Linked DNA regions of Canis lupus familiaris. The protein of the gene in region 2 interacts with the protein of the main gene of each other region in a pairwise test. Links are inferred from orthologs where the notes say so. Each region holds a gene or a part of one and is shown on either strand. Other genes may lie near its edges. The genes, in order: MFSD5, CREB3, AQP5, APOD, STX8, SYNGR1 and ABHD16A.

What was found.
Region 1: the proteins of CREB3 (region 2) and MFSD5 interact in a two-hybrid assay, tested with the Homo sapiens proteins (2 studies listed by BioGRID and IntAct). The two-hybrid records come from large-scale screens. The link is inferred for Canis lupus familiaris from reciprocal best matches to the Homo sapiens genes CREB3 and SLC61A1.
Region 3: the proteins of CREB3 (region 2) and AQP5 interact in a two-hybrid assay, tested with the Homo sapiens proteins (2 studies listed by BioGRID and IntAct). The two-hybrid records come from large-scale screens. The link is inferred for Canis lupus familiaris from reciprocal best matches to the Homo sapiens genes CREB3 and AQP5.
Region 4: the proteins of CREB3 (region 2) and APOD interact in binary tests that used the Homo sapiens proteins (3 or more experiments, as listed by UniProt). The two-hybrid records come from large-scale screens. The link is inferred for Canis lupus familiaris from reciprocal best matches to the Homo sapiens genes CREB3 and APOD.
Region 5: the proteins of CREB3 (region 2) and STX8 interact in a two-hybrid assay, tested with the Homo sapiens proteins (3 studies listed by BioGRID and IntAct). The two-hybrid records come from large-scale screens. The link is inferred for Canis lupus familiaris from reciprocal best matches to the Homo sapiens genes CREB3 and STX8.
Region 6: the proteins of CREB3 (region 2) and SYNGR1 interact in binary tests that used the Homo sapiens proteins (3 or more experiments, as listed by UniProt). The two-hybrid records come from large-scale screens. The link is inferred for Canis lupus familiaris from reciprocal best matches to the Homo sapiens genes CREB3 and SYNGR1.
Region 7: the proteins of CREB3 (region 2) and ABHD16A interact in a two-hybrid assay, tested with the Homo sapiens proteins (2 studies listed by BioGRID and IntAct). The two-hybrid records come from large-scale screens. The link is inferred for Canis lupus familiaris from reciprocal best matches to the Homo sapiens genes CREB3 and ABHD16A.

What each region holds. Positions count from the first base shown.
Region 1 is NC_049248.1:44,704,709-44,708,996, forward strand, and holds MFSD5 (molybdate-anion transporter), read left to right. Parts: upstream 1-1,488; 5' UTR 1,489-1,528; coding exon of another isoform or gene 1,529-2,064; intron 2,065-2,201; 5' UTR 2,202-2,219; coding exon 2,220-3,572; 3' UTR 3,573-3,817; downstream 3,818-4,288. Other genes in the region: translation initiation factor IF-2-like, read left to right, coding at 1,152-1,397, 1,529-2,064. UniProt on the Homo sapiens protein: Mediates high-affinity intracellular uptake of the rare oligo-element molybdenum.
Region 2 is NC_049232.1:52,553,935-52,558,043, reverse strand, and holds the start of CREB3 (cyclic AMP-responsive element-binding protein 3), read right to left. Parts: upstream 2,801-4,109; 5' UTR 2,405-2,800; coding exon 2,312-2,404; intron 2,207-2,311; coding exon 2,059-2,206; intron 1,970-2,058; coding exon 1,902-1,969; intron 1,788-1,901; coding exon 1,698-1,787; intron 1-1,697. UniProt on the Homo sapiens protein: Endoplasmic reticulum (ER)-bound sequence-specific transcription factor that directly binds DNA and activates transcription. Plays a role in the unfolded protein response (UPR), promoting cell survival versus ER stress-induced apoptotic cell death.
Region 3 is NC_049248.1:41,910,841-41,915,107, forward strand, and holds the start of AQP5 (aquaporin-5), read left to right. Parts: upstream 1-1,467; 5' UTR 1,468-1,592; coding exon 1,593-1,955; intron 1,956-2,997; coding exon 2,998-3,162; intron 3,163-3,579; coding exon 3,580-3,663; intron 3,664-4,267. UniProt on the Homo sapiens protein: Aquaporins form homotetrameric transmembrane channels, with each monomer independently mediating water transport across the plasma membrane along its osmotic gradient. Plays an important role in fluid secretion in salivary glands.
Region 4 is NC_049254.1:31,201,636-31,205,135, reverse strand, and holds part of APOD (apolipoprotein D), read right to left. Parts: intron 1,860-3,500; exon of another isoform or gene 1,775-1,859; intron 1,696-1,774; coding exon 1,574-1,695; intron 1-1,573. UniProt on the Homo sapiens protein: APOD occurs in the macromolecular complex with lecithin-cholesterol acyltransferase. It is probably involved in the transport and binding of bilin. Appears to be able to transport a variety of ligands in a number of different contexts.
Region 5 is NC_049226.1:34,293,742-34,297,241, reverse strand, and holds part of STX8 (syntaxin-8), read left to right. Parts: intron 1-2,291; coding exon 2,292-2,391; intron 2,392-3,500. UniProt on the Homo sapiens protein: Vesicle trafficking protein that functions in the early secretory pathway, possibly by mediating retrograde transport from cis-Golgi membranes to the ER.
Region 6 is NC_049231.1:26,671,115-26,675,326, reverse strand, and holds the start of SYNGR1 (synaptogyrin-1), read left to right. Parts: upstream 1-1,412; 5' UTR 1,413-1,469; coding exon 1,470-1,637; intron 1,638-4,212. UniProt on the Homo sapiens protein: May play a role in regulated exocytosis. Modulates the localization of synaptophysin/SYP into synaptic-like microvesicles and may therefore play a role in synaptic-like microvesicle formation and/or maturation.
Region 7 is NC_049233.1:1,319,044-1,323,124, forward strand, and holds the start of ABHD16A (phosphatidylserine lipase ABHD16A), read right to left. Parts: upstream 2,801-4,081; 5' UTR 2,725-2,800; coding exon 2,593-2,724; intron 2,486-2,592; exon of another isoform or gene 2,213-2,485; coding exon of another isoform or gene 2,195-2,212; intron 1,602-2,194; coding exon 1,545-1,601; intron 795-1,544; coding exon 728-794; intron 495-727; coding exon 408-494; intron 1-407. UniProt on the Homo sapiens protein: Phosphatidylserine (PS) lipase that mediates the hydrolysis of phosphatidylserine to generate lysophosphatidylserine (LPS). LPS constitutes a class of signaling lipids that regulates immunological and neurological processes.

The DNA.
Region 1 (4,288 bases), on a different chromosome or scaffold from region 2:
TTACCAGCTAATAGGGGCCAGCACTTTTTAGACTAATTTATCTAGATTAATTTATTCATTTCTTCATCAAATGTTTATTGAATGCTTTTTACTTACCAATAACTGTTGGGGTTTTTTCTTCAACTTCATTTCTTTTTTTTAGTGATGTCTACACCCAACATGGGGTTAGAACTCCCACTTCCACCCCACCCCCAAGACCAAGAGGCAAATGCTTTTCTGACTGAGCCAGCAAGGTGCCTCCCCAGACCCCACTCCCCACCCCAGTAACTGTTTTAAGTACTGGAAACACAAGTGAACAAATAGATAAAAACCTTTAGGGAGAAGAGATAATAAATAAATAAAATACATAATGTGCCAGATGGTGTTAAGTGCTATGGAGAAAAGACAGCAAAGGGGAATGAGGCTGGAAGGACAGCAGGTAGATCTCTAGTGGAGGTGGCCGTGTTGCTGTTTTCAACAGGATGGCCCGGGAAGGCCTCTCTGATAAGGCAGCCTTGGAACAGGAAACCCGAGGGGCTGAAGGAGGGAATCATGTGGGTCTTTGGGAGAAGAACCTTGCAGGGCACAGTGTGCAAAGGCCCTGGAGGTCCCCAATACAGATGGAGTAGGAAGAGTCTGGAGAGAGGGATGCCTGGGTTGCTCAGTGGTTGGGCGCCTGCCTTTGGCTCAGGCCATGATCCCGGGATCCAGGATTGGGTCCCATGTTGGGCTCCCTGCATGGAGCCTGCTTCTCCCTCTGCCTGTGTCTCTGCCTCTCTCTCAGTCTGTGTCTCTCATGAATAAATAAATAAATCTTTAAAAAAAAAAAAAAGAGTCTGGAGGGAGAATTGTAGATAAAGTCAGAGAAGTGGCAGAGGAACCCGACACAGAGGGTTTCTAGGTCATCACGAAGGCCTGGGCTTCCATGCTCAGTGAGGTGAGAAGCCGTCGAGCCACTCTTAAATCTGGAGCACAAGGGAAAGAACCTTTCCAGGGGAGCACGGCTGGTAAGGGGCGAGAGGTGGGCTGACCCTTCGCCCTTTTTCCTCGGGCACTGCTCCCCCCTGACAGCAGGCAAAGAAATTGGGACACTAAGTGACGGATCTGGGGTTGGGGCCTCGGCCGGCTGCGTCCCCAGTCCCCAGGCCCTTGACCCACACCGCCTCCCTCAGGTGTCTGCGCCGCACCACGTCGGGGCCCAGGGCGCTACCGCGGGACCGGCCCGCGGAGGGCAGCCCGCGCGTCGGCAGGACTGCGGCACTGCCCTGCGACGGAGGAGAGAGAGGAAGTGGGTCTTTATGTGGAGGCGGCGCCGCAGGTACCCGGGAGTCGGAGGAGCGGCTGTCACGGGAAGGCCGCGGGGAGGGCCAGCTGCCGCCGCCGCCACCGCCCTGCTCGGCGGCCTCCGGGAGCCGGGGGCGGGGCCTGGAGCGCGGGGGCGGGGCCTGGGCGGGCCGGGGGCGGGGCCTGGGCGCCTCACCCCGTCACGTGACGGGGCCATCATGGCGGCGGCCAGAGGCCTCCCCGGCTCCCGGAAGCGGGCTGTGAGGGGCGGGCGCGCTGCTGGAACCCGAGCCCGAGCCGGAGCCGGACGTCGAGCGGGCTGGGCGGCGGGGCGGCCTGGAGCCGGACGCGTCCGCGGCGTCCCCGCAGCCCGGGGCAGCAGGTGAGCCGCGGTTGGGGCGAGGCGCGAGCAGGCGTGGCGGCGCGGGGGCGCCGGGCTGGGGCTCGGGGGCGCGGCGGGGGGGCCCGGGCCCGGGGTGCGCGCGCGGGACCCTGGAGCGGCCCTGGAGGCCGGCGCGGGCGGGACGCTCGGGGGCCCAGTGCAGCGGCCCGGAGAGCGTGGGGGTGACGCGCCTGCGGAGGCCGAGCTGGGCGAGGGCAGCAGCCCCTCCACCCGCGCGGCCGCCGTCGCCGTGTCGAGGGGACCCCCTCTTTGCTGCGCCGGGCGAGGGTGGGGCGGATGCTCCTTCTCCCCTCGCCCCGCCCTGCCCCGCAGTGTCCCGGGAGACCCGGCCTGGCGGGCCGCTCCTCCCACCCACCCAACTGGTCCCTCCGGTCCGAGCTCCGGGGGAGTGGAGCTGAGCGGCGGGGAAGTGCAGGTGGCGGGGGTGGGGTCGGGTGGGGGGTGGGTGCAGCTGCTTCTGCGTGGACACCCGCCCCTTGGCAGTGCTGCCCGGGCAATGGATGTAACTCCCACCCCCCCTTCCTCCCCTACCTAGGTCGTCCGGGGGCCCGCCATGCTGGTGACTGCCTATCTTGCTTTTGTGGTCCTCCTGGCCTCCTGCCTGGGGTTGGAGCTGTCAAGATGCCGGGCTAAGCCCCCTGGAAGGGCCTGCAGCAACCCCTCCTTCCTCCGGTTTCAACTGGACTTCTATCAGGTCTACTTCCTGGCCCTGGCGGCTGACTGGCTCCAGGCCCCCTACCTCTACAAACTCTATCAGCATTACCACTTCCTGGAGGGGCAGATTGCCATCCTCTATGTCTGTGGCCTTGCCTCCACAGTCCTTTTTGGACTGGTGGCCTCCTCCCTTGTGGATTGGCTGGGTCGCAAGAAGTCCTGTGTCCTCTTCTCCCTCACTTACTCTCTCTGCTGCCTAACGAAACTCTCTTGGGATTACTTTGTGCTGCTGATGGGCCGAGCCCTCGGAGGGCTGTCCACAGCGCTGCTCTTCTCCGCCTTCGAGGCCTGGTACGTCCATGAACACGTGGAGCGTCATGACTTCCCTGCTGAGTGGATCCCAGCTACCTTTGCCCGAGCTGCCTTCTGGAACCATGTGCTGGCTGTAGCGGCAGGTGTGGCAGCTGAAGCGGTGGCCTGCTGGATGGGGCTGGGGCCCGTGGCGCCCTTTGTGGCTGCCATCCCTCTCTTGGCTCTGGCTGGGGCCTTGGCCCTTCATAACTGGGGAGAGAACTATGATCGGCAGCGTGCCTTCTCAAGGACTTGTGCTGGAGGCCTGCGCTGCCTCCTGTCGGACCGCCGCGTGCTGCTGCTAGGCACCATACAAGCCCTGTTTGAGAGCGTCATCTTCATTTTTGTCTTCCTCTGGACGCCTGTGCTGGACCCACATGGGGCTCCGCTGGGCATTGTCTTCTCCAGCTTCATGGCAGCCAGCCTGCTTGGCTCTTCGCTGTACCGCATTGCTACCTCCAAGAGGTACCACCTTCAGCCCATGCACCTACTCTCCCTTGCTGTCCTCATCGTTGTCTTCTCCCTTTTCATGTTGACTTTCTCCACCAGCCCAGGCCAGGAGAGTCCAGTGGAGTCCTTCATAGCCTTTCTCCTTATCGAATTGGCCTGTGGGCTGTACTTTCCCAGCATGAGCTTCCTGCGGAGAAAGGTGATCCCCGAGACAGAGCAAGCTGGTGTACTCAACTGGTTCCGGGTGCCCCTGCACTTGCTGGCCTGCCTGGGGCTCCTAGTTCTCCATGACAGTGATCACAAAACGGGCACTCGGAACATGTTCAGCATCTGCTCTGCCGTCATGGTGATGGCTCTGCTGGCAGTGGTGGGACTCTTCACCGTGGTCAGGCACAATGCTGAGCTGCGGGTACCCTCACCCACCGGGGAGCCCTATGCCCCTGAGCTCTAGCCCGGTTCCAGGACAAGGGGGACTGGGAAGGACTCTCGAATCCCACCTCTCCGGGGTGGTATACAGATCTCTCCGTGACAGACTTTGCAACTGTCTGGGCCTCAGCCTGTCCTGGGGCCCCTCCTGCCAGTGCTTTGGGTTGGAGAGTACATGGGGGTGATGGCCTGGAAAGAAGATGCCACAAGTTGCCTCTGTGTTACTCCCTCTCCCCTTTCCATTTAAAAATAAACACTTTTAACTGGTCATTGATTGGATTTGCTCATCCTCACCTGCACCCACCTCAGTAGTTTCTGGTGTGTGGGCAGCCGGAGAGTTTGAGGCTGAAGGTGGGCTTATTAGCAAAAGGCATTTGTAGTTCTAGTCTCCAAGACTGTCTCCAGTTTAAACCGAGAGCTGTGGCATTGCCCCTTTGCTGAAATGGGTGGGGACTGCCTGAGGCTCCTGGGTCTTCTATATCTTGTTGCCCTGGGGACAGGTACCCTCTCCAGTTGCCCAGCAAGACCCTTGCTCCACAATCAGGGTGAGACAGTCTCTGGAGCAGGTGGTGTGAACAGAGATTCCAGGGGCTTGAGTTGCCTCTGTGACCACCCCTTGGGGCAAATCTGAAACCTTCCTGCAGAAACAAGCTTGCACCTCAGCACACATATGCTACCTGCCTTCTGTCTCTGTGGCAGAAGGGACTGTTTGTCCCGCACCACGTGCTCCCACCAGGTCCT
Region 2 (4,109 bases):
ATAAATAAATAAAATCTTTAAAAATAAAAACAAAACAAAAAATCTTGGGGCACCTGGGTGGCTCAGTTGGTTAGGAGTCTGACTCCTGATTTGACTTCAGCTCAGGTCATGATCTCAGGATCATGGGATGGAGTGCCGCGTTGGGCTTTGTGATTAACAGGGAGTCCACTTGAGATTTTCATTCTCTCTCCCTTGCTTTCTGCCCCACCCTGCTGCTTGCATGCACAAGCACAATCTCTCTTTAAAATAAGGAAACCGGGATCCCTAGGTGGCGCAGCGGTTTGGCGCCTGCCTTTGGCCCAGGGCGCAATCCTGGAGACCTGGGATTGAATCCCACATCGGGCTCCCGGTGCATGGAGCCTGATTCTTCCTCTGCCTCTGTCTTTGCCCCTCTCTCTCTCTCTCTCTCTGTGACTATCATAAATAAATAAAAATAAAAAAAAAAAGATTTAAAATAAATAAACCTTTAAAAAAAAATCTTTAAATTTTCCTTATCCTAAGCTAACCGACATCTGCCTCTATGATTTCTATCAATTGAACTTACCTGGTACCTATCTCTGAGACCATATAGAATGAAGGTTTTTTTTTTGTTTTTTTTTTTAAGATCTTATTACTTATTCATGAGAGACACACACACAGAGAGAGAGAGGCAGAGACACAGGCAGTGAGAGAAGCAGGCTCCACGCAGGGAGCCTGCTGTGGGTCTCGATCCCGGGTCTGCAGGATCACGCTCTGGGCTGAAGGCAGGTGCTAAACTGCTGAGCCACCCAGGGATCCCAGAATGAACAGTCTTTAATTTAAGCCATTTAACATTTCTTCAGAGTTAAAAGATCTGGGCAAAAATTTTAACTTCTCGGGATGCCTGGGTGGCTCAGCAGGTTAGTACCTCCCTTCAGCCCAGGGCACGATCCTGGAGTCCCAGGATCAAGTCCCATATCGGGCTCCCTGCATAGAGCCTGCTTCTCCCGCTGCCTGTGTCTCTGCCTCTCTCTGTGTGTCTCTCATGAATAAATAAGTAAAATCTTAAAAAAAAAAAAATTAACTTCTCACCTCTCTTCGGGATGGACTGCATCCTCTTAATATCTGTCAAAGATCTGGGTTCAAAACTAGACACTAAGATGTGCTCTGGCCAGTATAATGGAGAAGAAGATGGTCACTGCCCTTCTAGAGGCAACACCTCTACTGATACAGCCTTCAAACCCCACTCTCTGTCATCTCAAACTAACCCATCTTGTACTTTTAAGAAAATTCTCTCAACCTTCCTGTAGTGTTGGTTTCACAACAGTACCACAATACTGTGCTTGTGAAGCTGCTATTCATTGCCTGAAACTTAAAACTTGGGATTTTACAATTATTCTTGCTATATTACTTAGTCCAGCCTTGATGAACTCTAACCATTTAGCTACAGGTGGATTACCATGAGTTTGCTTGCACAGTCCCTTCCAAGACCCTACACTAATGTTGCATCGATGATTTTGAATTCTTCTCAAAGAAAACACCAAAACTTGTATGAGCCCCACAAAACCAGGATCTGCCTCTGCATCCACCATATTAACATCATGCTCCAGCTTCCTATTACCAACAAATTTGCCAAGTTTTCTAACCTCAGTCCTTCCTGACATAAAGTTAACAGAAGTGCACACTTGGGATCCACAACACATCCCTCCAGCCTTCACTCCCACCAATGGGAGTCTTACCTTAGTAAGAGGAAGCGTCCCATGCAGAGTAAGCCCCTCCTTCTCCAACAGCCTCTTCTCTTCATCTGTCAGTATCAGCCTAGCAATCTCCTGGGATTAGTTACCAGGAGGTGGGCAGCAGAGTTGCAAGGGGATGACAGAAAGGAATGGGGAATCCGCCCCCACCCGCGCAATGTGGGAATGATCCCGCCATAAATCAAGTACCTGCTCTGCGGGCTCCTCCACTTGCAGTGGGGTCGTCTGGGCCTCTTCTTTTCCATAGCTCCCACCATCTGCAAAACGAAAAGTATAAATAGCCAGACCCACGAAGCCTCTCCTCCCCTCAAACCTCACTTTCTTCCTCATCATATTTCAGACTCACCTAGATCTATGGAAACATGCTGTTGTGAGAGAGAGTAGGTGTGATCATGGTGCACGAGACAGGAATCAGAGGAGCTAAGGACGTTCAACGATGCTGGGGGACTCAGCATGGAACTCAGGAAATCCTCTGCCTCCCATTCACTCAACGCCTGCACAGGGTTCAAATAAACAAGCCTTGACCTATCAACTACCCACCACCCCATGAACGCTCTCCCGGGATCCCCGCGCCTCCCCGGCTCGCAGCCCCCACCCACCTCGGAAAGCGGCGGCCCGGCCCCCAAATCGCCGCTTTCCTCTAGCAGGAAATCCAGCAGGTCCTGGTCACCCAAGTCCAACGCCAGCTCCATACCGGATAACAACCGGAAAGATGTACAGAGAGACCTATCCGCAAGCCCGGACCTGTCGCTCTGAAATTGCACCAGCCCCCAAGACCCGATTCTCCGCAACTTCCAACACCACGGAAGTGACGCGCACACCCCCGAGGCACCACGGGATTTGGAGTTCCCTCCGACGCGGAAGTGGCCTAGCCGCGGCGCGCCACGTCCCGGGAGCTCTGCAAATAGAGGGGACGTCCCTGCGGCCTCCTCACACCCTGAGGGCGGGCAATCTGGGAGGCCGCCTCCGCCTCGGCCCCAGGCTGAAAAAAAAGGAAGGGTTAGAGACCAAAGGGGAACTCGCGCGCAGTTCGGGCGTCTTCCCGGATTGCGCCGCACCCTTGTTTCCTGCCGGGGGAGCCGGCCGGGGGGCGGGGGGGGGCGCCTTTTTAAGGCCGGCTCCCGAGCATCGAGAGCTGGGGCCAGAGCAGCTTCCTGTTGCCCCCACAACCATAGAGCGCGGGCCCAGGGCGCCGCCCGCGGGTGGGGGACGTTCCGGGGACGGAAGTGGCCGAGAGAGTGTCGAAGGGAGGGCGAGGCCGAAGCCCGATTACCACCGGGAGAGCGAGCGGGTTATCGGGCCGGCGGGCGGGGCACGAGCCGGGCAGCGCAGGTAGGCCGGACCGGGCCGAGCCGGAGCCTCAGGGTGGGGCCGCACGGCCAGGACCGGGAAGCGAGCGCGAGCGCGGGTGGCAGCGCGGGTGGCAGGGCGGGCGGGGCCCTTGCGTCCGCTGTTTCGGGTCCTGTTGGAGAGGTCAGCGTCCAGTGTATCTCGGCTTGGGATCGGAAGTTAAGTAGGTCGTTTTAAGGGAGCCAAGCCTTTCCTGGGATCAAGTCCTCTCTGTCTGGAATAAGTTTTGGGGAGGGTGAGGAGTTGGGTGACAGTGAGGCGCAGGGCGGGGATCGGCTTTGAGGTTAGCTGATAGTGAGTATGCGGGTAGGAAAGCTGGGGGTGAGTTTGGGAATTAGGTAGAGTTGGGTTTAGGAATTAAAGGTTAGCTTACGGAGTTAAAAACCGGAGTTGACATTTAGAGTTACCAGTGTGAGTCGGGTCCGTTTTATGTAGGTAGAGTTTGGATTAGGTCATTATTCTGTTTCTGGCCAACGTAAGTCAAAGTTAGGGTTCAGGGCCGGTTTAAGGGTCAACACAGGATTTAAATTAGAAGTCCAGTTTTTTAGGGATTAGAGAACATTAGCATGGAACTAGGGATAAATCGCGAAGGGATGGATCAGAAGTCAAGTGAGACAACAGTTTTAGGCTTAGAGATCAACATTTAGAGTTAAGGTCAGGAAATTCATTCCTAGAGGTAAAAAGTAGATCAATATTAGGGATCAAGGATTGGGGACGGGTGTCTGCCAGGAAAGGGATGAATGTCAAAGCCAGTGTTGGGAAACAGGAACCAAATTAGGGTCAGGGTTAATATTAGGGATTAGGGTTAGTTTTATGGGGGTTATGGCTGAGGTTAGGGTAGCTGACCTTGGATATATTGAATTTAAGAGATTGGCAGTAGGTAGGTGCTCTCGTTTTGCAGGGAGGTCTCATTCCTACGTAGTTTCAGGGGTTCTCTAGCCCAGAGATAGGATAAACTCATTTCAGGTTAGGGATCTGGGCTTCAACTAGAATTGCAGGTATCTGGGATTCTAGCTTCTTTATTTCTGTTCTCTAAATCCAGTGTTC
Region 3 (4,267 bases), on a different chromosome or scaffold from region 2:
GGAGAGCCAGAGGAGAGCAGCCTGGAGTTCAGAGGGAAGGGATGGGAACAGGAGGAGGAGGATGGGAGCGGGAAGAGAGCATCACCCAGTCCAGGGCTGGAAGGACTAGAAAAGACTACACGTAAGAGAGATGGGCCATGGAAGCCGAGGTAGAGGGCACCTGGGGGGCTCAGTTGTTGAGCATCTGCCTTTGGCTCAGGTCATGATCCCGGGGTCCCGGGGGGGACCCACGTGTGGGGGACCCACGCTCAGCCAGGGGTCTGCTTCCAGGAGTCTTCCAGGCCTGGGGTGCCTGGGTGCCTCAGGAGGTAGAGCATGCGACTTTGCTTTTCCCCAAGATTTTTTATTTATTTGAGGGAGAGAGAGAGAGAACGAGCAAAAGCACACAAGCAGGCAGAGGGGCGGACGGAGAGGGAGAAGCAGAATCGCTCCTGAGCAGAGCGGGACGCGGGCCTGGGTCCCAAGGGCCCTGGGATCATGACCTGAGAGGAGGGCAGACACTCGCGGGACTGAGTCACCCAGGCGCCCCCGCATGCGGCGCTTCATCTCGGGGCTGTGGGCTGGAGCCCCACACTGAGTGTAGAGATGACTTAAAAATAAAATCTTAAAAAAAAAAAAAAAAAAAGACTGAGAGTTTGAGGGAAGGGAAGACGAAGGAGAGTGGAGGAGGTGAGCTGCGGGAGTTAAAGGAGGGGGGGGGGGACCAGAGTAGGGGGCCTCGGAGGCCGGGAGGTCAGCGGGGCGCCCGCGCCGTCCCGTCCCCGCAGCGCACCGCCACCCCGACTCCCGGGGCTCCCCCGACCCAAACCAAAAGTGAAGTCGGTCGCGCCCCCTCGCGTCCCGCCCCGCACCCCGTCGGGGGCTCGCTGGGAGGCCGCGGGGCTCGGGCGCCGGGAGAGGGCGCCTCGGGGCTGCGGGCTCCGCCGGCCGCTCGCCCGGGACGCCCCCGCCCCGCCCCCGCCCCCGCCGGGCAGGGAGCGGAGCGGCGCGGGCCTCGGAGAGTCGCACGGCTCCAGCCCCGCGGGCGGTGAGGCCGGGTCGGGATGCCCGGGCCGCGGGAGGGAAGGGAGGAGCCGGCCCCAGAGCCCGGCGAGGCCGGGGGAAGGGCGGGGACGCAGGCACTGGGCCCGCGGAGGTAGGCGCCGGAGCCGCAGCACGCTCGAGGCCGCGGCCGCGGAGTCGTCCAGGGACGCGGCCCGGAGCGCGGGAGCCGAGCGGCGCGCACCATGCGCGGGTCCGCGGGCGCCCGGCCCGTCTACACCGCCGCCGCCTGGGTCACGTGGCCCGGGCGCGTCCGCGGCGGCCCCGGCGGGGGGGCGGGCGCGGGGGGGCCGGGGGCGCGCGGGGCCCCGGGCCGCGGCGAGAGGCTGCCGGCCGCCGGGGCCGCCCCCTGCCCCCCCGCGCTCGCCCCCCCGCGGGGCGCCCGGCCTCTATATAGCGCGCCCCCGCCCGGCCCGCGCCAGGCCGCCCGCCAGCACGCCCCGGGCCCCGCGCCCCGCAGCCAGCCCCCCGCGCCCCCCGCGCCCCCCGCGCCCCGCGCGCCCCGCGCCCCCGCGCCCCCCGCGCCCCGCCGCCGCGCCCTCGCGGCCACCATGAAGAAGGAGGTGTGCTCCGTGGCCTTCCTCAAGGCCGTGTTCGCCGAGTTCCTGGCCACCCTCATCTTCGTCTTCTTCGGCCTCGGCTCGGCCCTCAAGTGGCCGTCGGCGCTGCCCAGCATCCTGCAGATCTCGCTGGCCTTCGGGCTGGCCATCGGCACCCTGGCGCAGGCCCTGGGGCCCGTGAGCGGCGGCCACATCAACCCGGCCATCACGCTGGCCCTGCTGGTGGGCAACCAGATCTCGCTGCTGCGGGCCGCCTTCTACGTGGCGGCGCAGCTGGCGGGGGCCATCGCCGGGGCGGGCATCCTCTACGGGCTGGCGCCGCTCAACGCCCGCGGCAACCTGGCCGTCAACTCGGTGAGTGCCCCCGGGCCGGCTGGGCGGGGGCGCCCTGGGGTGGGCTCCCGGCCGGCCCCAGACAACATCTGGGGCGTGGGAGCAGGCCCGCCTGGCAGGTGGCGGGGCCGAGCTCCGGGCTGGACGGTGCCCGGGGTGCCCGGGGTGCCCGGGCTCGGCCTCCCTGGTTCGGACCCACGTCCTCCCCTGCCGCCCTCCTGCTGCTCCTCTGGCCTCCCTCCTGGAGCCGGCTGCCTCTCCTCTCTCTGCCCGAGACTTCTGGCTTTCTGCTGTCTGGCTTCTGCCCTGCGCTTGGGACCCTCGCTGCTGCTGTCTGCGCCGCACTGGAGTGGTTTCGCGGAGCCGTCAGGGGTGGGTTGTAATCCCGGCTTTGGGCCCCCCTCGCCCCTCTGGGCCCCACCGTTCTCAGCTGCTACACCGCGGTGGTCATCACCTACCGCAACAGGTGTCAAGGGGGTTACATCTAGAAACCGTGTGTGCGGTGCCAGTGTGTAGGGTCTGTTGAATACGCGTTCCCACTCCTGGTCCCCTGCTCTCACCCCCTTTCACGGTCCCATATTCAGTCCCCATGTCCCATGTAAACTGGGTTCATTAATCAAACACAGAGGAGGATTTTCTCGGCCATTGTCAAGCCGTGAGTCAGCCCCACCGGAGAGACGGGTTTGAGGTTGGCACTGGCAGCGGGTCAGACACGGGCGGGAGGCAGGCTGGGGGTGCAGTAGGCAAACTGGGCAGCTGCCCACAGGAGGGAGGGTAAATGCCAGCTTGTGGGGGTTGGAACTGGGCAGAACCGTTGACAGGACCTTGTCCAGGAAAAGCTCCCCTCACACTCAGCTCCTTGGCCACCGACCGGCCTGGGCTCCAAGCTTTGTGCACAGGGTCAGGTAGGTAGTCTTTTCAGCAAATGACCTCTCTGACGTGCGCAAGGCTTGGCTTCCAGGGACAGTGGCTCTAGGTGTCCCTGGAGGCCAAAAGCCTCATCCCCCGAGCCCCTGGCCATAGAGCCAGAAGGCAGGGGTCCTAACCCACCCTCCCCTTGCAGCTCAACAACAACACAACCCAGGGCCAGGCTATGGTAGTAGAGCTGATTCTGACCTTCCAGCTGGCACTCTGCATCTTCTCTTCCACCGACTCCCGCCGCACCAGTCCTGTGGGCTCTCCGGCCCTGTCCATCGGCCTTTCCGTCACACTGGGCCACCTCGTGGGGGTGAGCAATGCTGCCACTTGGTTGCAGCTGTGGGGAGCCCCCCAGGGCAAGTAATGGGGCTCTAGAGCAGCACCCCTCTGAACCAGGGAACCTAGCAGTTAAGGCCTGGAGCGGGGTTGCTATACTCTGTCCCAGGCTGGATCCCCCCAAATCTTCTCTAGTCTGAGGAAATATGGCAGGAAGTGTGAGTTGGGGGAGGTGGGGAGGCAGGAAATCCAGCCCGAGCACAGGACTGGAGAAGAAAGAGGGGTCCATGGGGACCAGTAGAGGGAGAGCTCACCAGCCTAGCAATTGGGAGACTAGATTCAGAGACCTGGCTGAGCCACTGAACTTCTGGGTGGCTCTGGGAAAGACCAGGCCTTTAGGAGCCGACAGGCATGTTGCCCTCCTCACTGCCGCCTCCCTCTCTCTGCCCAGATCTACTTCACCGGCTGCTCCATGAACCCGGCCCGCTCTTTCGGCCCCGCAGTGGTCATGAAGCGCTTCAGCTCTGCTCACTGGGTGAGTCTGGGCCCCCCCTGGCTCCCTGGCAATGAGGGCCTGGAAACCTGGCCAAGAGCTCCCTGGATCTTCTGGATGCTGTGGGCCCGGAGCTCGGGGTGGCCTTGAGAGGCGTGGCTGGAGAGAGATCGAGATACAGACAGGGATGGGACGCAGCCAGAACAAGGACAGGGGGAGTTAAATGGCAGAGGACCCTGGTTTAGGGCTGGGGTGGGGCGGGGCAACCCTGGGTAGCTGTACCTCTAAGGAAGGGAAGGAGATCGGTTCCTCTGTGTAGATGTCTGAGGATTTTGCGTCTGTCCTTCTGGGGTGGGGCGACCGGGGGCAGTGTGTCTGAGTGTCTGTCCTCTCTGATGTTTTATATATCTGTTCCTGCCCAGGGGGTTCAGGGAGTCTTCCTTCTTGTGGGCCTGTCCCTCTGCACAGTCTATCTGTCACCTCTGCTGAGAGCTCATGTTCCCTCTCCAGGGTCTGTTTCGTTCCCTGTGTGGGAGGGAGAGGAGTTCTGTGGTCTCCCCGGGAATCTACATGTCTCCTTCAAAGGGTCACTTGTCTCTCTTTAGAGTGAGGTTGGGGGGCCCCGTCCTCCTGGGGATCTGTCTCC
Region 4 (3,500 bases), on a different chromosome or scaffold from region 2:
GGCCGTGTCTGACCCTCGTCGCAGACCAGGACAACTCCTGGGGCGCAGCCTCGATGCGCCTGCACCCGGGCCCGGTCGCCGTGCCCGGGCTCTGAGATGAGCCGGTTTTCTCTCTCTCTAGGCCGCTAAGATGTGACTTCGCTTCCCGGATTCCTGCAGGGCCAGGGGCCACCCCCGGTCGGGCACAGGAAGCCTGGTGGGGACCAGGACGGCCGCAAAGCCTCCCGGAGCCGCAGGGCCTTCCAGGCTGCGCCGTGGCGGTTTCCTTGGAGCCGACACAGTTCCCAGATCCCGCAGGGGACAGGAGGGACGGCCCTGGTCCCAGCCCTCTCTCCCGGCGGCTGTTGTCTTCCACGTTCCCCTGCTCTCTGGGCTTGAACGTCGGCCTCGTTGCTTATAAGCGGTGCGGCCATCGGGCGAGTTCCCTTCCCTCCCTGTACCTCTGTTTCTTCATCTAGAAAAGTGGCCTTACTAAGAGTACCTGCCTCAGGGCCCGGAGGCGCATGCTCGTTTACATACACATCCACCCAGGTGCACGCGTGCACATACACGTACACTCACAGAATAGCGCCTTGCACGCAGGAAATGCTTAATATTTGCCACTATTGTTTACTGTTGCTCTTATCTTTTTTTTTTTAAGATTTTATTTATTTATTCATGAGAGACCCAGAGAGAGAGAGAGAGAGAGAGAGAGAGGCAGAGACCCAGGCAGAGGGAGAAGCAGGCTCCCTGCAGGGAGCCCTACTCGGGACTCGATCCCGGGACCCTGGGGTCACGCCCTGGGCTGAAGGCAGCTGCTTAACCACGGAGGCCCCAGGCATCCCTGCTCTTATCTTTGTTGATGGAAGGTAGGTAGGAGGTCTTCCTGGGGCATTTTTAAAGTTTATGTTTGCTTTCTAAAGTATGAATTTTTCTATCGAAATAGAACTCGGTTAGAAGCTCTCGGAAACAGAAAAGCATACTTCTAAAGGCTATCCTGTTCACGAACCCTAGAGTGTGGCTATGAATGTATTTGATTCTTGCTTAATGAGAACAGGCGTCTTCTAGTCGTCACGGCTGAATGAATTGCCATGAGCAACCAGTTCCTGGGAGGGTTCAAGCCGAGCTGGATGCCCTCTGTCAGTCGATGAGGTAGAAAGAGCTTCTCTCTTGGTTTGGAGATCAGATCAGATCAAAGTCTCACTTGCCCTTTGCTACCAGCGTGTCTGTTTTGCAAGGAGAGCAGGAACCCTGCAGTTTGGATTCCCGTTGAGTCCCCAGTACCTTTTACAGGGGCACACACACAACAGGCCCAGAATAAGTGTAAGTGCTCGCCGGGAACACACAATACAGTAAGTACACAATACAGTAAGATGCCCAGCAAGAGGTCTTGCAAATAAGCGAGTGGCCTCTAGTCCCCACCATCCTGCCTGCCAAAAGCCTTCATCTCAGGACCTGCTGCGAGTAGTCAGTGCAGACGCAGCCACGTCTGCCTCCCCGCTGAGCTAGGCCGCAAGGACACCCAGTCACCCGGGGACAGCTCTCTGCAGGCTGGCTCTGGGACCGTGTTGCTTTTGAAACCGCAGCCACTCACCTCAACTCCTGGTTTATCACTTTGATGTTTCCGTTTTCCATTAGCGAATAGTTGGCTTGGATGCAACTTCCCTTCTCAAAGCTCACTGGGATCTTCTCAATTTCGTACCATCGTCCAAGATACTGCAGAGATAACAATAAGCAGAGAAAACCCTGTGGCTCTCTGGGGACCTGCTAACTCTTCCCTATTGTCGTCTTTTAGAGCAGAGCCCTTTCCTGGGGAAACCACGCAAAATGGGCTGCACTGTTCCCGACAGCAACTGAGCAAGATATTGATTCAAATGAGAGTAAGTGAGTCAGATTTGCAGGCATTGGTCGAATGCCACATTTTATTCCTAAAGTGACCTTTATTTAGATATGATGTCAGTGGGCCCTCCAGCCAGAATCTATGTGAAATTTTAGGCTCTGTAAAGGAGAGGGAGCGGTCCAGATGATGTAAGGTTCCATCTCAAATATTTTGTGATTCTACGAGGCATCTTTGAATTGTGTGCAAAGCCAGATATGGTCACTCTGGGGAACTGGGACTCCAGAGTTGGTTGATTCTCCTCATAAGACCCCGGACAGGGAGTTGGTCACAAAGGCTTTTAGCAAGTGATCAGGATTCAGAAGATTGATATTCTTTCACTGGGGACTTGGTCTCCGTTCATAGCTTCGTGTACAGAGTCAACATTAAAGGAAGTGTGCAATGGTGTGGGTGACGGTAAGGAGAGACAAGTACTTTCATGCTTCCATGCACTGCCTTGCATGGAGACTGCTCCAATTTACAACCTGCATGGGGGGCAATCTGACAATATCTAGCAAAGAAAATACATCTAGTGCATTTATGAGGTTATTTGATGCAGTGCTATTTGTAAGAACAAAAGACAGGAAATTAGAGTCTAAGTGAGCATTCGTAGGGGACTGGGTACATAAATGTGTATGGCACAACCAAACAACCGAATGTTATATAGCCTCCTTTAAAGGAGTCATGCAACTATATCCAAGATGCATTCAATGGAAAAAAAGAGCTGGGTAAAAAATAAGAGTATATGGAAAATGGGGGGAAAGGTTATTATGTTCATTTTCTATTGCTGCTATAACAAATTCCACAAGCTTACAACACAAATTTATGGTCTCATGGGTGTGTACATCAAGTGAGCTTGATTAAAATCAAGGTGTTGGCAGGACTGTGTTCCTTTCTAGGGGGTTTAGGGGACTCTGTCTTCTTGCCCTGTCCACATTTTATTTTATTTTATTTTATTTTATTAATTTTTATTTATTTATGATAGTCACAGAGAGAGAGAGAGGCAGAGACACAGGCAGAGGGAGAAGCAGGCTCCATGCACCGGGAGCCCGACGTGGGATTCGATCCCGGGTCTCCAGGATCGCGCTCTGGGCCAAAGGCAGGCGCCAAACCGCTGCGCCACCCAGGGATCCCCCTGTCCACATTTTAGAGGCCACCCACATTCTTTGGCTGGTTGAACCCCTTCCTCCATCTTCAGAGCCAGCAAAAGTGGGTGAAATCCTTCTCACATTGTATCTCTCTTTCTCTTGTTCCATCATCACACCTCTCTGACCACAGCTGGGGAAAGTTCTCTGCTTTCAATAATTAGACTGAGCCCACTGGGTAATCCACGCTCTCTGGCCATCTCCAAGTCTATAACTTTATTCACATCAGCAAAATCCTCCTTTTCGTGGAAAGTAGCATATTCGCAGGTTCCAGGGATCAGGGTGTGGACATCATTCTGCCTACTGCACTTATGTATGTATTTGTGTACGTATACACTATCTCCCAAATGATACACAATAAACTGTTTTTAACTGGTTGCTCCTAGGGAGGGAACCAGGGGTAGGTTCAATGACAAAGAACTTGTCATTGAATGTTCTTTGGCACCTTTAGAATTTGGACCCATGTGAATATATTTACTTAGTCAATATATTAATTGGAA
Region 5 (3,500 bases), on a different chromosome or scaffold from region 2:
ATTCCTCAATGATTCCAGTGGGTAGCACATTTCTAGAACCTCCGCTTGTCCAGGGCTAACGTGAGAATGTGAGGATTGGGAACAGAACGTCTGGGATTTTGACCTGCATTTCACAGGACCTCTTCAAGGGCTCACTCCCCTACATCTCTAAAGCCCTCTTGTCAAGTCTCACCCGATGATCCTGGTGTTCGAGTCTCTGCAGAAACTAGCTTCCCCGCATCTGTGACCCTGTGATACTGTATCCTCCTACCTAGGGCCACTCAGCCCAATGTGCCAGGCCTGTTTCCTTCCTTTCACCTTTGCTTGTTTCTTGTGTCTTTGGCCCAGTCCAGAATGTGCCTCTCCCTCCTGCCTCTCAATCTTGCAGTTCAGCCCAGAATATAATCTCTTGGCCTAGTCCTGTCAAATCTGAGTGCCTCGGCCGCCAGTGATTTCTCTCATTTCCACACTCCAGAAGGACTTACCAGTTATGTTCCACAGTTGGTAGGAGCTATAGCATACATCATTAGTGATTTCCACAAGTATGGTCTAGGAGCACAGAGCCAGACCTAAGTTCCTCTTTTCAGAGAGGACAGTATGGAGGGGAAAAAGGGGAATGTGGCAAAGCTGGGGCTAGGACCCAGTTTCCTTACCAACTTCCTTCCTGTTATCTTTTTTTTTTTTTTTTTCTTTTTGGGGGGAGAGGCAGAGAGAGAGGGAGGGAGACAATCTCAAGCAGACTGCATACTCAGCACAGAGCCCTATGCTGGGTTTGATCTCATGACCCTGAGATATGACCTGAGCCCAAATCAAGAGTCAGATGCTCAATTGACTGAGCCACCCAGGTGCCCCTTCCCTCCTGTTTCCTTAATTATGTATTGTATCACCTGCTCTTCTTTGTGAACATACGCACACTACACATGTATACATATGCACGATGCCACTTTAGTGTGTAGTGGGAAGTAGTTAATGATCCTACCTCATGGGATGTGAAGTTCAGAATGTAACACTCTTAGCCAGAACTGGCCCAGATCCGTACTCAATCACTATACTACTATTGCTGTAATCACTATAGTAAGATTGGTAAGAGAAGTGACTGAAGATTGTTCTTTTTCATCACTGAAAAACACATTTGCTAAGTTCCTTAGGTATATGAGTAGTGAGTGGGAGTTCAAAGATTTTAAGGAATGGATTGTTTACCTTCTCAAGCAAAACTTGGGACATTGGGTAAAACAGCAGTTTTCAATATTTTGTACTGGGAAAATATGTTGATTGTATCGAACTGACCACCTGGTAGATGAAACACAACGTATAGGTGCACTTAGCTCTTCTCTGTAAAACAAATAGAAAATAGAAAGGCTGTTACAAACGGACCCACGAAGGGGTGACTGGGAACTCACTGTGAATTTTTCAAAGCCTCCAACACTTTGAGTACTAAACAGAAACCCAGCAAATGTTTTGAGAGAATTCTCATAAGCTTAGATGTCAGGAGGGTGTGTGTCCTGTGTCTCCAGAGCATTTCGTTGTAGGATAAACAGTACTTGCTGTTCTTGTTTTACATGTAAAGCTCTTCCCAAGATAGCTGCCTGGCTGGCTTCCTCACCTTGCCTGTCACTCTCTGCTCTTTAATCCTGCTTTATTTTTCTTCTTCACACATACCAGCACTTGACATACTACATATTTATTTATTTTATGCCTTTCTCCCTTTGCTAAGCTCCTAGAGCAGGGACGTTGTCCATGTCGTTCACTGCTCTGCTCTCCAGGGCCTGGAACAATACTCGGTACAGAGGAGGCCCTCCGTAAACATTCACCGAACATTCTTTAAGTCAGTGAATTCAAACATGTTACCATCTGCAGAATGGTGTCTTTAAGTCAGTGAATTCAAACATGTTACCATCTGCAGAATGGTGAAGTGGGTAGGAGCCCAAACTCAGGGCTGGGCAGCCTTGGCTTGCTGCTGGGGGTATCACTTGGGCAGGTCTCTGTACCTCTTTGTACCTGATATTTCCTTACAGGTGGGGGTGGTAATGGTACCTGCCTCCTGGCATTTTTTTTGTGGATTAAGTGAATTAAAAATGAAGCATTCAGAATAGATCCCTGCTCATAATATTTACCATAATAGCAACACATGTCCCTATGACTGTTAACTATTACTACCCTTCCTTCCTGTTTGAATTTGTGGCTAGAATTAAAAACAGAAGCTCAAAAAAAAATTAATTAAAATAAATTAAAAAAAAACAAAGCTCAGATGACACAGAAATCTTCTTTCAAAGAACCTTAAACATTCTTTTCCCTTTACGACTTTAATGCAGGTTCTCCACATACGACTCTACCTGCCAAATTGCACAAGAGATTGCCGAGAAAATCCAACAGCAAAATCAGTATGAAAGAAATGGTGAAAATACAATCAGGGTAAGACCAGGGGAAAATTAGTACCTGAAATGATTTGTTTGAGCTCTGAGGTCTGAAAACCCTCCTACTGCTGAGGCTGTGTGTGTGTGTGTGTGTGTGTGTATGTATATGTATAAAATGGACTCCAAACTTACATGTGTGGAATTGATATTACAACCAATCAGTTAATCGTTATAACTGAGACTAAGTGAAGCATGACACCTGTTTAATTTCTCCTCCATAACCAAAGTTTCTAACAATTTCATAGTCTGGGTCAAACCCTAGACAGTAAATCTTCCAGACTTTGCAGAACAAGAGGTGACATCTTCACCTCTTGGAGTAACTGTTCTTGCCAAAAGGATCGTGGCCTTTTTTTTTACATTTTACATGGAAAAATGTAAATAGTTTGCAGGCTGTACAAAAACAGTGGCAGGATTTAGCTAGGAAATCTATTTTTTAGACACTCAGGAGTTCATACTAGCACCTTTGATTTGAGTCCAGGACACAAGTTTCTTTCTAAACTTCCCCACTCAAATTCATATTTTTCCTTTCCAGCAGTCAGAACTTTGGTTTCCAAAAACAGTGATATCTTTTTGTTCATTTGATCTACCATATAGTTTACAGAAAACAGTTTCAGAATTACTGCGCAGGTGCCACCACAATCACTAAGTCTGAATTTGTCTTATTTTTTTTAAGAACTAGTATCCCACTAATAATACTGAGGTTATTCTGTTCTAAAGTTATTAGAATGGATTCCTTTTTTGTTTTCCTTTTTTATGCTATCCTTAGCATCTGTTTATATTCTTTTTTTTTTTTTTGCAATCTTTAACCCCCATACTTATCCGCCTCCCCCCCCCCCCCAACGTGGTAACCACCAGTTTATGCTCTATGGTTAAGAGTCTATTTCTTGGTTTGTCTCTCTCTCTGTTTTCCCCTTTGTTTCTTTGTTTTCCCTTTGTTGGTTTATTTCTTAATTCCACATAAGAGTAAAATCATGTGGTATTTGTCTTTCTCTGACTTATCTTACTTAGCATTAAACTCTTTAGCTCCATTTATGTTGCTGCACATAGCAAGATTTAATTCTTTTTATGGCTGAATAATATTCCATTGTGTATGTGTATTCTGTTGTG
Region 6 (4,212 bases), on a different chromosome or scaffold from region 2:
CCAGATCGTAGTTTGCCTTCATTCATTTTTGTAACAGTGACTTTTGAAGAGCAGTTCTTAATTTTTTTTAAAAATATTTTATTTATTTATTCATGAGAGACAGAGAGAGAGGCGCAGACACACAGGCAGAGGTAGGAGCAGGCCCCATCCAGGGAGCAAGATGCGGGACTCGATCCTGGGACTCCAGGATCACACCCCCTGGGCTGAAGGCAGGCGCTAAACCACTGAGCCACCCAGGGATCCCCCAAGCAGTTCTAAATTTTGATGAAGCTCAATTGATTAATTGTTTTCTCTTATGGATCATGCTCCACATTATACCTAAGAACTCTTTGCCCAACCCCAAATCACACAAATTTCTCTCATGTTTTCTTCTAGAAGTTTTATACAATCATAGCAGCTACGTCATGAGGTTGCTGTATCAAATGGGAGCACAGGGCCTGGCCCAGAACTGACCCTCAGTACACAGAGCCTAAGATGGACGTTTGCCTAGGTGATACTTGGAAGAAGTGCCTCACACCCACCACACACTTCCTCTGCACAGACCTATGTCCTTTCATCAGAGAATGACAAGACAGCAGCAAAACACATCCTTCTCCAACCCGATCCTGGAACCAAGGAAGGTCCCTGGACCACCGAGAGAGGCGGTTAGGACTACAGGTCATGGGAAGAGCCAGACCCAGAGGGTGTAACCAGCCCTCCTCTAGCCGGTCTGCTCCCATGACCCCTGGAGGCCTAGCCCAAATTGTGATGTGGTTCTGGGGACTAGGGTCTACTTCTTGAGAACCTACTGTGTGCCAGACCATTGGCTCCAACAGGGAACGAGACAGAACCCACCGAAGAGCAGAAGAAAACAATGAACAAATAAATACATAATTAGTGAATTAAGGAAAAGGATGGGGGGGGGTCCATACGTCCAATAAAAAATCTGCTGCCCTTCCTCAGCCTCCGCCTCTGTGCCAGGTGTCTCGGGCCCTCCAGGCTGGGGATGGGGGTGCGCAGACACAGGCGCCCGTGTGATGTCAGCCTAAAAGCCAGGTGGAAAGGTCCTGGGGAGGTGGGGGCTGCGCTTTGGGGGGTTATTCATTCTCGGTCATTCATTCAGTCGAGAAATCTGCATGCTGCGCGGGAAGACAAACGAGGCCCCCGCTGCTACGCTGGGGGGCACCCAGCGGTACGCACCGAGGGGCTGGGACGCCGCTATTTGGGGCGCGCCCCTCCCCACCCCGCCCCCGGCTCCGCGGAGGTCGCGGCGCTAGCGACGAGCGCGCCCCCCGCCCGGCCCCAGCACGCGCGCCCCCGCGAACCAGCGCGCGCCCCCCGCCCGCGGCCCCGCGCCCCCCGCGCACGACGCCCCCTGGCGGGGGCCCTGGGCGACGCCGGCCGCGCGAGGCGGGGAGGGGGCGGGGGCGCCGCGCACGCGCAGGGCCGGCGGCGCGCCGAGCTGGGGGCACCGCGCGGGTGCAGCCACGATGGAAGGGGGTGCGTACGGAGCGGGCAAGGCCGGGGGCGCCTTCGACCCCCACACCCTGGTCCGCCAGCCGCACACCATCCTGCGCGTCGTGTCTTGGGTAAGGACGGCGGTGGCCCGGCCGCGCGGGCGGTGGCGTGTGGCGCGCCCGGGCGGACCCCAGGCCAAGGTGCGGCAGCCGGCGGGGAGCCTTGCGGACGGGGTGCGGGCGGCCGCCGCGCCCTCCTGCCGGGGCCGGGGCCGGGGCCGGGGCCGGGGCGGGGGCGGGGGCGGGGGCGGGGGCGGGCTCGGCGCCCGGGTTCGCGAGCGGCCCCCCATCGCGGTGACCTCCAGGCCGCGGCTCTGCAGCTGGCGGCTCGGGTTGCGCGGTGCCGCCGGGCGGGTCGGCGGCCGTGGGGACTGAGCCCGGGGTCCAGGTGGCCCTTGGGGGGGCGGGTGGATCGGGGCGTGGATCCTCACCGGGGCACGCCGCGCCCGCCGTGGACGCGCGAGGAGGAGACGGCCGGAAACCCGGTTTGGTGGCTTAGCCCGGAAGGTACGGAGCGATGCGGCGGGGGCCGGACACCTGGCTTCCACCCGGGAGCTGCGTGACCTTGGGCCGGGAACCACCCGAGAAACGTTCCTGCGGGAAGAAGAGTTACGTCCCGAGGTGGGGAGAGGCAGCTCCTCTCTCATGCCTCAGTTTCCCGATTTGTTGAGAGGTGGGAGGAGCTACCTTGGGCTCTGATATTTACCCCCAAGCCATGACCGCGCCCCCCCCCAAGTACACCTGGATGCTTGTGGGGGGAAGATAGGGGAGAGGTCCTCTACCCACAGGGAAGAGCAGAGAGGCCTGGTGGGGGTCAGAATTCCCCCAGCAGTAGGGGGTCCCTGCTCAGAATTGGGGTTGTGGGGGAGGAAGCTGGGACAGGACTGCCAGCAGAGAGGGAGGGGTTCAGATGGTCTGGACAGCACCCAGGGGAAGAAGGCCTGCTGCGGGAGGGGGTGCCTGGGGCTCCCTCGGGTTTCCTAGCCATTACCCAGACACCCTCACTAGAGGGTCTCGGCTCTGCAGGCCTGGGGCCTGTTCCTGTGGGCCCACACCAGAAGGGTTTGGACTGGGGACACTGGGCAGGGTCACTGTCAGCAACCCCAAGGGGCTACACCTGAGGCCAGCTTAGCCTCAGGGTGCTCAAGGTCCCTCATTTCCTGGGTTTTCAGGGTAATATTAGGGTCTGATGGGTGGGACAGCTTGGGTGTTTATCTCTGGCCTCCCAGAGAGAATGGAAGCTAACTGTCCTTTGAAAACGTTAAAACCTCCTCCTGGTGCTACAAGAAGCATGGCCTCATGTAAACCCCTTTCTTCTCACGTACCCATCAGATGGGGAGCTCATTGAGGGGGGAAGCCCCAGTGGCACCACAGGGCCTGGCAGCGGGCTGCTACCCCAGGCACATCCATAAGGTTTTGTGGCACTGAATTCATTCACCTGTGCCAGTCTCCAGCTCCCCAGAGACCCCGACTGGCCCTTGGTAGAGCTGGAACTCTGGGGGGCACCTGTCTGGTTAGGTGGGCCAGCTCTGTGCTCTGCTTCCCTTTGCCAGCCCCTGGGCCACTGGCCCAGGAGGATGAAGCCACTGGCTTTGTGAGGAGGTGTGGGCAGTTTGCCTGCTTGGGTCGCTTCTGCCTGTGATGGCTTCATTTAGTAAAGCTTCAAGTCCACTGGGCCCCTAGGGAAGGCGGCATGACTCAGATCCAGCCGTTAGTGCTCAGGGATCCTATAGTCCCACTGGGAAGGGAGCCAGGTTCACCCCCCGCCCCCCCCCCCCCGCCTCCCTCAGGCATGAGAGCCAGCCTAGGGGTCTCCCCAGGCCATGAGAACCAGCCTAGGGGTCTCCCTGCTGCAGGAATCAGAGAGGCATCGTGGAGGTGATAATCAAATTGGGCCTTGAAGCATGAGCAGGGTTTCTGCATGTGCATGTCAGGGTGTGGGGAGACATCCCAAGCAGAAGGAAGGAAACTAACTGCTGGAGTACCCACCATGTGCAGGGGTGCACACACGGTTACCTAGCTAGGTCCCCCACTGCATCCCTTGAAGAAGCAGGCTCAGAGGGTCCTGAGGTTACAAGCATGGAGGCGACAGACAGAGGGTTCGAACCCAAATCTTGGAGTCTCCAAAAAGCACATCGATTGCTCCCAATCCTGAAATCCAGGATTGGAAAGGATAAAGGTCATCCGGGCCAACCACCATCTAACACCCAAATCCCCCCACAGCCTTCTAGCTCTGCTGACTTTACCTTTGTGTGAGGAAAGCTTGATGAAGCTTTACTAAATCTGCTGATACAGGCTGATTGACACCTTCAAAACATAGTTTTTTTTTTTCTGGTCACAAAAGTAATGCGTGATGACTTTTGGAAAATATAAACATCACTTCTGATGGTCGCACAACAACATAAAGGTACCGTACTTATACCACCGTACAGCTAAAAATGACTAAAATGGTACATTTTATGTCATATGATTTTTAACACAATAAAAACATTCAGGAAAAAGAAACCATGTGTGATCCCACCACTTAGGGAGGCGCAGTGCTTCCTTCGAGTCTTTTTCAAAAATATGTAGTGAGCTAACATGTTTTAACATGTTTTAACACGCTGATGAGCATGTGGAAGATGCACTTGATGACCCATCCTTTGCTCTGGTGCTCCCTGGGCACCCCACCTTGGGGTCAGGGAGGCATCAGGCTTCACCTTCAAGCTAACAAAGT
Region 7 (4,081 bases), on a different chromosome or scaffold from region 2:
TCTGCTCCTTGCATTCAACCTTACAGTTGTGAGACCCGTTCTTGCTGCTGAGCGTAGTTTAAATTCGCTCACTTGCATGCTGTGTTGTGTTGTGTTGCACAACTAGACCTCTAACATATCCATCCTATTTGTGGCCATGGACTTGTTTCCAGTTTCAGATTATGACAAACATCTACATGGACATGTATGGAATTATTGTAGGGTATATGCATCTTCTTCAGATAACAGCAGTTTTCTGCCAATGAGTGTTTTTTTCATACTTACAACCAAGCCCTTTAAGGAAAAGATCACGTCTTCACCATTCCCAATTATTCCCTTTCAGGGCCCAAACCATATATTTGCAAAATTACTTAATAAATATTTACCCCGGGAAATATAGATCCAAGCCAGGCTCCCTCTGGACCTACCTCGGAGACAGGCCACGCCTGCCAAGAGTAGTAGCAATGTCCCCGCATAGTGAGAAAATGGCACCACTTTGGACAAGCTCAAGTAACCTGGGAGGGGAGAGGCATTATGTGAGAAATTTCCCCACTGCCCCTTGGCATCTCTTCCCAGGTCAGGCCCAATTTCCGCCCCATATTCTCTCTTTGGGACATCCATGCCCTTGGAGGAAGAAGACGCCTGATGGAAGAGGAAAGCCAAGCCATGTCCGTAGGTCCCCTTTCCTCTTTGGAGAGGTTGGCTCATCTGCCAACAACCTGCCCACCACCTTTGAAGCCACACTGACCTTTCCTGTATAAGTAGAAGAAGGCGAAGGGAGAGGAGTAATAAGAGATGGACCAGAAGACTGAAGCCTGCAGCAGAGAGACAGGGACAAGCAATCAGTACACATGCACACACATGCACATATGTGCACACATGTACACGCACGCACCCACACACAAGTCTGCCATTTCCAGGCCTAGGCTCTGAGCAAAGTGGAGGACCTGAGGGAGATCAATCACATCAAGTACCTATTCTGTGGATGACACAGTAGGTGCTTAATATCTGTTGAAAGGCAATGTATCAGAGCAGAAAGGAGGCTGGGGAAATTAGGTACAGGTTCTGTTTTCTTCCTCTTATCTCCAGACATAATCTCATCGCTTTTAAAGGCCAGTTTCTTTTTCTACTCAAGTCAATCAAACCTTTCCAATCAGCCCTGCTCAGCACAGCGCCTGGCCTGGTCTCCAAGAGATGCACAAACGTCACCATAGGAACCCTGCCAGAGAAAACAGCTGTCTTTGCAGCCAAGGAGGTTAGTTGCCTGTAGCCAGGGAGGACAGGTCACTGGGGACCACAGGACTCAGCACTTGCAGATGGTCCCAAGGGGAAACGCATTCTCCTCAGGGCTCAGGCTGCCCCAGAGAAAGCAGTGCACACACCAAGGTGGAGTGCCAAGTATGGGTGCTTGAGAGTGGGTCCATGTGGTTGGAGAGGTTGGCAGCAGAGGCTGGAGCATTCCCCACCCCAGGGGCGCTGCCTTCTCCCATGCTAGGGAGGAGAAAGTTCCGAGGGCAACTGGGTGGGAAAAGACACAGTAGTCCCAGATGCGAGGGCAGACATACCAGTGCCAGGATGCTGTCAGCATGCTTCTCCAAGGCACGGGGTTGATAGTACGTATCCTGCCAAAACAGATGGCGGAGTCAAGGACCATGTCCACTGACCAGTCCTTCGCCTTCCCTTTTGAAAGCCCTGACGTTGTGTCCTCTGGTTCTAGCCTCTGAAGCTGTCCCTCCTGCGACATTCCTGGCTCCCAAAGAAATCCCTCTTACTAACCCCTCCTCCAAGCCTGATTTCCTACCCCAGACCATGAAAACATAGGAGGCCGGACTTGGGAGCAAAATTGAAAGCCTCACCGAAGGATTTGTGTTCCTTTTTCACAACCCAGTTTCAAATGGGCCGTGGGCAGGTGCAAACGGGGAGAGGAGTGAGAGAAGAAAGGAAAGACACAATGACAACTTTAAGAGGGAAATAAGATCAGAAATAACAGGGTGATTAAGGAAGAGAATGTGGCAGAGGGCGGGCCGTCCCGGGGCGCAATAAACAGCTTGAGACTACCCGTGAAAAGGCAGAGCGCCTACAGGGACACAGCCGCCCACCACCCCAGCTTTCCTTTTTTTTTTTTTTTTTTTTTTTTTTCACCCCAGCTTTCCTAATGTGACCACCCTGGGGTCTCCAAGGCTGGCTGGGCGGCGGGGTGGGAGGCCGCGCGTACGTGACTTGTCGAAGCCATCTAACTTCACGGACAGTGTGGAAGGCAGATAAAACGGAACTGGGGAAGGCACCGAGTCAGAAGAAATCACCCAGCTCTGGAATTGGCGCAGGGTCTCAGGCAATTGGGAGTAGCACGAACCACGACAGACGGGGTGGGGGCCGCGAGAGGGAAAGGCGAGGAGCGCTAGTGGGAACCGGAAAGCGGTGGCGAAGAGCGACAGAGGAGGCCGGCGATCCGCGGGCGTGACTTTAACCCAGGAGGCGCAGGGAGCGCTCCGCAGACACCTGGCTCGACAAGCAGGCTCCCCCGATTTCCAATAATGGGCGCTTCCGGGGAGCAGAGGCCGCGAAGGGGACTGGGCCGTACCATGTTTCCGACCCGGGGAGAACTCGACTCACCCAGGAGCTGGAAGGGGGGGCAGTGACTGAAGTTGGAGTCTCGGGGACGCCGGACGGGGCCCTTTCCGAGTCCCTCTCCCGGTAGATTTTGTAGAGCCGGGGGCCTAGGACGCAGCTCAGCAGCTTCGCCATGGCCCCCGCTCCCGCCGCTGCTCTCCCAGCAGCAAGTCCCCCTTCCGACCCCGCCCTTCCCCGGCCTCGAAGGTATTGCGTGCCCTTGACGTCAGCACGTACCGGCTCCGCCTCGAGCCCTGTAGAGACATTTTCCGCGCTGCTTGAGACGGATTTCGCGCAGTTGGACCTACGGGTAGAGCCGTGGTCAGAAATTAGTTGGAGGCGTTTGGAACGCGCCGAGGTAGGGGATTATCAGGATTAAGTCACTTTTTCCCATCCCTTAATATTGGCAGGCTCTTGAACGACAATGGGAACGAGGGATAAGATGCAACACAAAGAAAAGGTGTCTAGGAACACATCTAACCAAAGAAATGCACGATTTTATGAAGAAAATTACAGAAGTTTTTGAAAGAGGTGACCAAAGGCTTGAATAAATATAGAGCTACATCGCAGTCATGGATAGGAGGACTAAGTATTATCAGGGTGTGTAAAATACCGGTTAAAAAAAAAAGAAAAAAAAAGGAGGAATTCTTGCTCCTAAGCGTAGACAAATCTCAAATGTATTGTTTAGTGGGAAAAATAAAGCCACAGATTGATTACACGCAACCATCACGATACATATGCATCTGTATAACATTTGAAAAGAAAATTTAATGATCAAGTGAAAGTTGAAGAGCAAATTTAGAATAGTGTAACACAGCATAGAGGATCTTTGAAATGGTAATACTTTTTAAAAGATTTTATTTATTTATTCATGAAAGACACAGAGAGAGAGAGGCAGAGACACAGGCAGAGGGAGAAGCAGGCTCCATGCAGGGCCCGACGTGGGACTCAATGCCGGGACTCCAGGATCATGCCCTGGGCCAAAGGCAGATGCTCAACCACTGAGCCATCAAGGATCCCAGTAACACATTTAATAGATATTCAGGTTTGGTTTATTTTCCTTTGTACCTTACACCTACATGATATATAAATTCTTTCGCTTCTTATTGCAGTAAACACATATACAGAAAAGTGCACCTTTTGAATATATCCATGTAGTCAGCATCCAGATCAAGAATACATTATACCACATCTACAAGACCCTCCCCAAATCACTACCTCCCCCGCCAAGGGGTAACCACTATCTTAGTTTCTAACCTCATAGATTAGATTTGACTAATTTTGTACTTTATGTAAATGGAATCATGCAAATGATGCCCTTTGTTTCTTGCTTCTTTTACTCATTATGTTACATTCGATACAGTCCTTGGTATGCATGGAATATTTCATCAAAAACCATTTAGAGGGCTGCCCAGGTGGCTTGGCGGTTTAGCGTCGTGTCAGCCCAGGGCCTGATCCTGGAGACCTGGGATGGAGTCCCATGTCGGGCTCC